3 separate regions of the Mus musculus genome follow, and all the other regions are reported to be linked to region 3. The links are microRNA targets in miRTarBase. Many come from high-throughput screens and were not tested one by one. Region 3 holds a microRNA gene; each other region holds the end of a gene's coding sequence.

Evidence for each region. The annotated mature microRNA mmu-let-7g-5p reads UGAGGUAGUAGUUUGUACAGUU and lies in region 3 at 1,689-1,710, shown strand. An mRNA with a match to its seed (bases 2 to 7 or 8) in the 3' UTR can be bound and repressed. Matches are read on the target gene's strand: a 7mer-m8 pairs with bases 2 to 8, a 7mer-A1 pairs with bases 2 to 7 and ends in A, and an 8mer does both.
Region 1: the mRNA of Nf2 is a reported target of mmu-let-7g-5p. The part of its 3' UTR that is shown has no 7-base or 8-base seed match.
Region 2: the mRNA of Cts8 is a reported target of mmu-let-7g-5p. Seed matches in the 3' UTR shown: 7mer-m8 at 2,052-2,058 and 7mer-m8 at 1,863-1,869.

The regions. Positions count from the first base shown.
Region 1 is chr11:4,778,002-4,781,165 of GRCm38, forward strand. It overlaps Nf2 (neurofibromin 2), which reads right to left. Exons shown (of 17, transcript NM_001252250.1): 16 at 2,577-2,621. The coding sequence ends at 2,586. Among named protein-coding and RNA genes, the nearest start is that of Cabp7, 32 kb to the left of the region's middle.
Region 2 is chr13:61,245,683-61,248,845 of GRCm38, forward strand. It overlaps Cts8 (cathepsin 8), which reads right to left. Exons shown (of 8, transcript NM_019541.3): 8 at 1,065-2,571. The coding sequence ends at 2,472. Among named protein-coding and RNA genes, the nearest start is that of Cts8, 8.1 kb to the right of the region's middle.
Region 3 is chr9:106,177,158-106,180,321 of GRCm38, forward strand. It overlaps Mirlet7g (microRNA let7g), which reads left to right and starts at 1,683; the gene lies at 1,683-1,770. The region is part of intron 2 of Wdr82 (WD repeat domain containing 82); the gene reads left to right.

The DNA of each region.
Region 1 (3,164 bases), not on the chromosome of region 3:
CCGAGAAACCCTGTCTCGAATAACCAAAAATAAATAAATAAATAAAATAAAATAAAATAAAATACTGGTTGGTTTTCCAGAAGACCAGGGTTCAATTCCCAGCACCCATATGGTGGCTCACAACCATCTGTAACTCTAATTCCAGAGAATCTGGCATTAGGAGGTGTGGCCTTGTTGGAGGAAGTGTGTCACCAGGGGTGGGCATTTAGAGTTTTAAATGCTCAAGCCAGGCCCAGTGCTGTCTTCTGAAATGTACATCTCTCAGCTACATCTCCAGCACCACGTCTGCCTGTGTACCACCATGCTTCCTGCTACAATGATTATGAACTAAACTAAACCTCTGAAAGTAAGCCAGTGAATGCTTCCTATGAGTTGCCATGGTCATGGAGTCTCTTCACAGCAAGAGAAACCCTCTCTAAGAATCTCTCATCCCCAATGTCAAAATGGAGCTCCTCCCTTGACCAATAGGTACACACACTTCCAAAGCCAGAAGGGACACTTTTCTGCTAGGCTAGCAATGGTTCAGACAGTAGTGGAAATGACTTGAGAGCCACCTCTACACAGGAAGGTGACCATCAGTTATGAGCACTGGCCACTAGCCATAGAGACTGCCACTACCTAAGTAAATGAAACATTCCTCAGACAGCAAAATCCACCAGTATTTAGTTTAAAATTGCTGAGAGGAACTTGCATCATATTGAAAGACAAGTTCTTGCTTTTAGTAACCTTGGTTATCAGAATTCTTGGTTATCAGGGTTTCTCTGTATAGCCCTGGCTGTCCTCGAACTCAGAAACCAGCCTGCCTCTGCCTCCCGAGTGCTGGGATTAAAGGCGTGCGCCACCACGCCCGGCTGGTTATCAGAATTCTTAATTAAATACAGCCTAGCAATCTGTTTTGAAAACAACAGGCACATTAAGGCATTCACCTGAGTGAATGAATGAATGAACTAACAAACAAACAAACGTTTCCAAATACAGTCACTCGCTACTTGATGATTGGGCCATGCAGTGAGAGGTGTGTTGGTAGATGATCTTATCACTAAGGGAAAATCATAGACCAAGATGGCTGTGATGCCACTGGGTAATACAAACGTACAGACCCAGCACTGTGTACTCAATCTGTCATTGGGCACTTGGCATGATGAGGCTATAGGTCTAGAAACAATACAAAGATGACTAAAAAGGAAACCTCTCTTGTTTATAACAACTCAGTGAGAACTGATGATCAAACTTAGGACCCTGAAGAATACAAATATTCTATATCACACAACAAAAGATGAACCCACATTCTAATGAAATTGCCTAATTATACGCAGGGAGCATCTGATGCACCAGGTAAGATATAGCAAGGTTTTCCGAGTGCCCTGCACTGACCAGAGTGCACGAAGCACCACAGATCCACTTGGGTTACCATGTGGGCAGAGATTCAACTTTCCAATATCCTGTTTAGAGCACACACTGCATGATGTCAGGGTAGCAGAACCAAAGTGGGCATGAGGCTGAAAAAAGAAGTGCATTCACTCAGGCAGGCTCAAATGACAGTCTCGGGTTCGTGGGGCCTCTGTGCACTCTCAGTTACCTGATGCACCTGGGACGTCACAGCTGACCTCCTTTGTGGACAATGAGCAAACGGAAACGTCCAGGTTCCGAGTTTCTTTACCTGACTGCAGTGAGGACGCTAAGGACATAGCCTATTTCTCTGTCAGAAGTGTCAGAGGCATGCTGACATGGGTATGACTGGGGATCAAGCAGTAATGGAAGGACGGTAACATTTAAATATTAGGCATGATAATCCTGTATTGCCTGGGCATATTGAAAGAATAATCTGTAATGCTTTAATTAGTTGACTCAACACAAATGCTGCTAACTCATCTCCTGGGTGTCTGCAATGGGACAGTTGCAGATGAGCTTGTCCATGCACAGCTCCTTCCATGCGGTAGGGGGACAGAAGCCAAAGTGGCCTTTAGAGCAGCCATGGGACAGCCAACTCACTGCAACTGGCTTAAAGATGCACCAGTGTTCTGTTTGCTGCCCTAGGAAAGAAAAGGGGTGTGCAGAGAACAGAAGGCTTGAGGAAAAAATGAGAATGAGTGGCCCACACCCAGAAGCTACCAGCTGTGATAAGTTTGCAGAGCGTACCACTACAGGAGAGGAGTGATCTTGAACAAGAGACATCAGTCTTAAAAGCATCAGAACTGATTCCCACTTCCATGCTAGAGGTATCTATCAAAGGAGTATACCACCAAGAAGAAAAAGGACTTAGATTTGACTGGAAAGGGAGCCATGACTTTCCCCAACCCAACCAGTGACATAAGGGAAACCAAGCAACTGGTCCTGCATCCCCACAGCATGCTCTTCAGAGTGAGGCAGTCTTCTAGGCCCGGGAGGCTGGTCTGGGCCCCCCCAGGGTGGACAGCTGCTCTCACCCTCAAAGCATGCTGTGGCCAGGCCCCAGGCTTCCCTGCCCTCAGGAGGGCTCTGCGTGGCCCGAGGACAGAGACAGGCAAGCTCATGCACGGGTTAGTACCACAGACGAAGGACCAGCACCACAGACAGAATACCTGGGAATAACCTACTTTGAGGACTCAAATGCAGATAGGTCTTCTGCCTTGGGCTTGAGGCTAAATGAGCAAAATAAAATGAAAAAACAAAGACATACCCTGTGAAATCAAAATGCCACATGTGCCATTTGCAAAATGCTCAGAAATAGAGACAGTGACCTCAGGTGTACTGTGAAACAGTTTGAACAGTGGCCTCTCTGGTTTTCAGCTGAGAGCCCAGTTCTCCACAGCAGCAGTGGCCAGGAGACTGCTCAGGATGCCAGGTGATAAGGAGGCAGGATGAGGGGGCTGACTGGTTCACTAGCCCAATCACGTTTTAGCTTAAGAGCCTCCTCTTTACCCCCACCTCCCCCGCCCACTTTATGAGACAGGGTCTTATATAACACAGGCTGGACATGAATTTTTGTTGCAGTCCAAAATGACCTTTAATCCTCCTGCCTCCTCCTCCTGAGTTCTGTGGGTCACCACGCCTGGTTTTAAACTCCCCTCTGACATTTAATCATTTTGTTTGAAACAAGAAACCCAGAAGACAACAGGAGCCAGAGGGAGAGGGTGTGGAGTGCGGTGATGCCTTCTCTACTTGGTGTCCACTGTGAAGTGCTA
Region 2 (3,163 bases), not on the chromosome of region 3:
ATTTGGGAATTAAATGATCTAATATAGGGTAGAAAACCTCAACTAATATTTAGCAGAGCATTCCTAAACAAGAACCAGCATGTTCCATGACTGAAGCAGGGGGAGGGAGGAGGGGGGAGAAGGGAGAGGATAGGGGATTTTCGAAGGGGAAACTAGGAAAGGGAATAACATTTGAAACGTAAATAAATAAAATATCTAATAAAAAAGAAAGAAAGAAAAAAGCCTCTAGAGAGCATGTTACCAGACTCACCAAATTGAAACAAAATATAATGTTCTAATTATGTCTGTAGGAAATTGTCAGATATCACAAAAACCAAGGCTTAGCTGGATCATATCTCTGTCTATAATCATCAGTTATAAGCCAACATGTTTCTATTCCCTAATCAAGAAATAAAGTCATATTTTAAAGGAGCTTGGGTTGTAGTCAACCCCTACCAGACATGCCTAGTACATGTGTAGGAGTATCTCTTGCTGGGAGCGCAGTGGCATTGAGATAGTTGCTTTAAATAAACTCTCTATCAAAATTTCCAGGCATAGACATTCCTATGATGTAATCTGGTATAACAAAGCCAATACCACCATAAACTTCGATTTGGCAAAAGTTATCAATCTATATGGTGAGGGACCCATTTTTCTGACCTCATCTAATGTATTCTCCATGTAGTGAAGGTCACTAGAAACACTCATTTGTCTCTAAAATGAAACCACTGGAAAGCTAAAATAAGAAAACACTAGGCTCATCATCTCTTATATACTCTGGATACATTTTAAAATCTACATTAGATTCTAGTACAAAATAAGTACTAAACTATGTATGTGTATATTTGTGTGTTCCATTATAGACATATATGAATGTACACAATGTGTGTGTGTGTGTGCCTGCAATAATTTTCTCTATATATCTCTATATCTATATCCATATCCCTATCTATCTATCTATCTATCTATCTATCTATCTATCTATCTATCTATCTATCTTTCTATCTATCTGTCTATGACAAAGTTCAGTGCATCTGATAACTAAATTCAAACATTAACAACAAAAAATAATACAACAGAACATTGATTCTAGGAGGTTTTATTTAAAAGGCATGTTTCAGCTCTCTTGCCTCTGAGACACTAAAACTTCTGAAAGTGTCATTTGAATAAAAATCTGTAACTGCAGATCCAGTTTTGCCGATGTCTTCAGTACATTCACAATGAAGATGCTACACAGGATGGAAGTAAGGCAAGGGGGATTCACAGTGATAGTCGATACACAAAATCTAATTTAACACACACATTACTAAAGATGGAAAATTGACAATAACAAAAGAGCCACCCTTCTTTCTCTAAGAACATCAACAGAACACAAATGTATGTCTTTATACTGAGTTATTAATGTGACAACAAAATTAATATCCTGTAGCTCATTACCTGGCAGTGGGAACTCTAAAGTTGTTCCTTATTCCCAGCTGATAAGGCTATTGATGTTGTCATTGTACATATATTGTTTAAGCAACAATTTTTTGGACATACAGTCTCCTTGTATATTTCATGATCCTTTGTCTCTAAGTCATTCTGCCCTATCTTCCACAATATTCCCTGAGCCTTACATGCAGGAGTTATGAATACTAAAAGGAGAATGAGCACTCCCAGGGGTGAACCCCTGATCAACTACCTAAACAATGTGATTAGTCCTAAAGTCTTGAACATAGAAGGAACAAAAATTGATTCAGCCTTCAGCTGGTTTCATTATATATTCACAAATATATACATATACACATATACGTATATATAATGAAAATCACCAGAGAATAAGAAACAATCAATTTAGCCTGGCGGTGGTGGTGCATGTCTTCAATCCCAGCACTTGGGAGGCAGAGGTAGGTGGATTTCTGAATTTGAGGCCAGCCTGGTCTACAGAGTGAGTTCCAGGACAGCCAGGGCTATACAGAGAAACCCTGTCTCAAAAAACAAAAAAAAAAACCAAAACCAAAACAAACAAACAAAACAACAACAACAAAAAAACCAATCAATTTGAGACTAGATGAGAGTGGGGAATATGTGAGGAGGTAGGGAGGAAAAGTTGTTGGAGGAAAGAAATAAATGGGTTAATATAATTATATTTTAACTAAAACATATATTAAATGAAATGAACTACATACAATTTAAAAGTCACTACTTTCAAAACAAAAAGAAGACAGACACTTCATTTGAACTTAAATATTCTTTAAAGATATTGTTTTATACAATCATTAAACAAACACAAAATCAAGTTATGGGAATCAAATACAAATAAGTGAAGTGCTTAAGTTACAGTATCCATCATGTCTTACTGGATAAAAACATAACAGAATTCACATTACATCACGTTCTGCAGTAACTCATGAACTCTATCCATGCAGCAGAGGCTGGTCATGGTAAACAGAAAGTGCCTCCACTTCACAGGCTGTCTCCATTCCAACCCTTCCTTCTTACCATCAGGCAGTTTACACTCTGGGGTAGACGGCATATGAAGCAATTCCACAGTGGTTGTTCCTGCCTCTGGCAAGCTTCATGTAGCCATTCATGCCCCATTGCTCACCATGACTGAAAGAAACCATGTATCCCATTTAGTAGAAAGAACACAGGACAGTGCACTCAGTACAATAACTCCACGTGTAACCACTGATCCAGAAGCCTACTTAACTCCATGATCAGAAAATGCAAAACATCCAACTCTGAGAAACCAAAGTTATCTCAGAAAGGACTGTGCAAATCACAGCAGTGAAAACTCAGGATATTTTTCCACCCACAGAACCAACAATATCTCAGCTTTTAGAAAAATCAGTGTCACAAACATATTACTACTCAAGGAAACCAGTGCCTAAATCTGAACAACACACATACTATAAGTTGATTACCCAGCCATAGTGTTCAAAGGTTCAAGTGGTGTTCACAAAAGAGAAAAGACTGGAGTTCAATCCAAGATTCCACCTGGGGCTGGAGTTGGGTCTGTGCCTAAGAACAAGGGCTTTTTCCACAGAAAGCTTGTTCCTTTCCCAGCAACCAAGTCAATCAGCTCACAGACTCCTGTAACTATATTTTCAGAGAATCTGATGTCGTCTTCACATCTCCATGTGCAGCTGCTCACACGTAGAATAAAAATTCACACAAACATCCTCACATGAGTGAAAATATA
Region 3 (3,164 bases):
CCAAGGCGCGCACACGCACACGCACACACACACACACACACACACACACACACACACACACACACACACACACACGGTGAGATCTTCTAAAAGGCAGGGGGTTGGGGTAAACCTTTACATTTCTAACTGAGGGAGAATAAAACAAAATTTGCAGATGTACTAAATGCAGACTGGAAAGGAGACCAAATGCGGGAGATTAAGAATAGTAGTGCCCCCAGCGCTCAGGAGGCGGGTGTGCAGCAGGGCCTTGGTTTGAGCCCTACCTGGGCCATTGAGCATTTGTAGCTTGACCCCGTCTTAAAAACAACAGAGGAACAAAAAGACATCCAAATAGTTAGAAGAGGTTAGCTCTTCTGTGGTTTGTGTCACACGGTGCAGTGACTGTGGTTGTAAATTCCAGGAATACCTTTTGTTTTGCTTTAGAGTAAAGGTATTTTTTAAGAATTGAAACATCCTTTTTAATAACTAGTATCTGCTTTTGACTGATTTCCCCTCGAATAAGTCCCTAAGTCAACAGAACTGTCTCAGTGCTTGAACTGTCGTGTGCTTGTTATTTTTTCTCATTTTAGCCTTGTTAATACTAGTTTACTAATGCACTTTTTGCAGTAAGATTTTTTCATTTTGTTTTATTGAGATAGTATTACTGTGACTCAGTTTGCCCTGCTTCATACTCCTGGGTACTGAGTGTGTAGGTCTGTGCCGCTATCGCAGGCACAGTAGATTTTTCTTTAGGTATGTGTACATCTGAGTGGGTGTGTGCCTATGCCCTTGGGCCAGAATAGGGCATCAGGTCCTCTGGAGCTGGTGTTGCAGGCAAGTGAGCCACGTGCTGTGGGTGTTAACCAAACTCAGGACCTCTGGAACAACAGCAAGCACTGTTAACCACTGAGCCATCCCTTTGGCGGTACTTTTTTTTTTTTTTTTTTTTTTGATTGTGTATGTGTGTGGAGGTGGTATGTGCACATGTGAACATGGGTGCCCACAGAGTCTGGAAGCTGTCAGCTTCTGGAGTTGGAGTTACAGGCTCGTATGAGCCGTCTGACGTGGATCCTGGAAGGGGAGCTCAGGTCCTTTGCAAGAGCAGTGTGTGCTCATAACCACAGTGATTTATTTTGCCTCCCTCCCTGTTTTGATGCAGGCTCTCACTTTGTAGCCCCAGATGGCCTTGCACTCTGTATATAGATCAGGTTGGTCTTAAAATTAAACTTACAGGAACCCTCCTTGGTGCTGGGATTAAAGACGAGTGACGCCATGCCCAGCCACTCAGCAAGGATAGCCTAGGTGGCTATTTTAACCTTTCTCAAAGCAAATGGGCAGGCAGAAGTCTTTCTTTAATAAGACTTCTGTACTTGAACTTGATTTTATTGCATGTCTAATCATCTCTATTTTTCATGTATGTGTCAGATGTAGTTTTCTAAGTAGGCAATGCCACCGATGCTTTTGGATAAGGATAAATACTAGAATTCTGAGGGTATATAAAAATATATATAAATGACTGGTGTATTTCTTTTGTTGGGTTGTTTTTCTAAGTGATTAAACAATTCTCCAAATATGGTAAAGATGAGGCAAATGTGTGGCGGGTGCAGCTTTGCTGCCTGGCCTCTGCTGTGGGGATGTTGCCTTTCCTTCCTCAAGTGCGTCCTGCAGAGCTGCTCCAGCGCTCCGTTCTCTTTTGCCTGATTCCAGGCTGAGGTAGTAGTTTGTACAGTTTGAGGGTCTATGATACCACCCGGTACAGGAGATAACTGTACAGGCCACTGCCTTGCCAGGAACAGTGCACCAGCTACCAAATGGGGTGGAGAAGATGGTGAAGCCCTGCTCATCTCTGGGATTCCAGGTAATGGGAGGGGATCTCTCTTTAGGTCAGGTGAGTAGTTCCTGGCACTAGAATAACCAGAAATGCATTGTGGTTGTCATTTGAGAGGCTTGGAGTTGTTCAGATAAACCGTTTGAAACTGTTACAGAATATATAGAAGGGTTCTTTTTTTCTCTCTTATTGCAAATGCCCTCTCATTAGAAAGCATCCCTGCAAGCTAAGTGTGTTGCTCACACCAGTAATCCCAGCATTTGAGAGGCTGAGGCTGGGGGATTGCTGCTTTTTTGAGACTAACCTGGGCTGTATAATGGGTTTCAATCTAGCATGTGCTATAGAGTGAGACCCTGTCTCAAAACAAAGCCCACTCTTGAAGCCGCTTGGTTCTTTGGACCTCTTTATTGGGCGTTTTGCCTTCCCTCCTGCACTGTGGTGCCATGTTTTGTATTATTTGTTTCTCTTCCTATTTTTTGTTTTGTTTGTTTTCATTGATGTTTGAGTTTGGTTTTTGAGATAGGGCTTCAGTAAATGTATCCCATGCTGGTCACCAATGTGGTGAGGTTATAGAGTCACTACTTACAGCTTTTCTCTATCTTTCTTAGGAGCATAGTACTTTCTAATTTTATTCTTACCTTTTGTGGTGTTAGGGGTTAAGCCGTGGGCCTCACCCACTGATGGAATGCACCATGCGCTGAGCTGCCTACCCAGCCTCTCTTCATTCTGCTGTCAGTGTAGTCTTGTCTTTTCTTTCTTTCTTTTTCTTTTTTTTTTTTTTAATTTTTTACTCTATGTGTATGAATGGTTTGCTTGCATGTATATCTATGTATCCTGTATGTGTCTGGTGCTTGGGGAGGTTAGAAGAGGATGTCAGATCCCCTGGAACTGAAATTACAGATGGTTATGAAACCATGTGGCTCCTGGGATGGAGCCTGCTGCTCTAAATTGCCGAACCACCTCTCTAGACCCTCTTGCTTACTTTTTCTAGATAGACTGCTTTTTCCTTTCTTGATTTTTCTTTCTTTGACAGAATCTGTCTATGTAGTAGGCCCAACTTTACACAAACTAACTGTATAGCCCTCTAATTTGCCCTTCTGATGTTCAGTGTAAGAGTTATCACTTTGCAGACAGCTAAAATTAGTGTCCATAGCTTGTGATTTTTTCCCCCTTGCTAGGAAATACTTATTCAGGACAAGTTGAATTATTACTTGCAAATAGTACAAAGATTGGTAACAAAAAAGTGATTTTTTTTTTAATGTAGTTTTTAACTCCCAAATTCGCCTCCTCAATGCTGCAGATTGAACTCTGAGCTGCTCACAGGCTAGGTGAGCACATCACCGTTGAATTGTACACC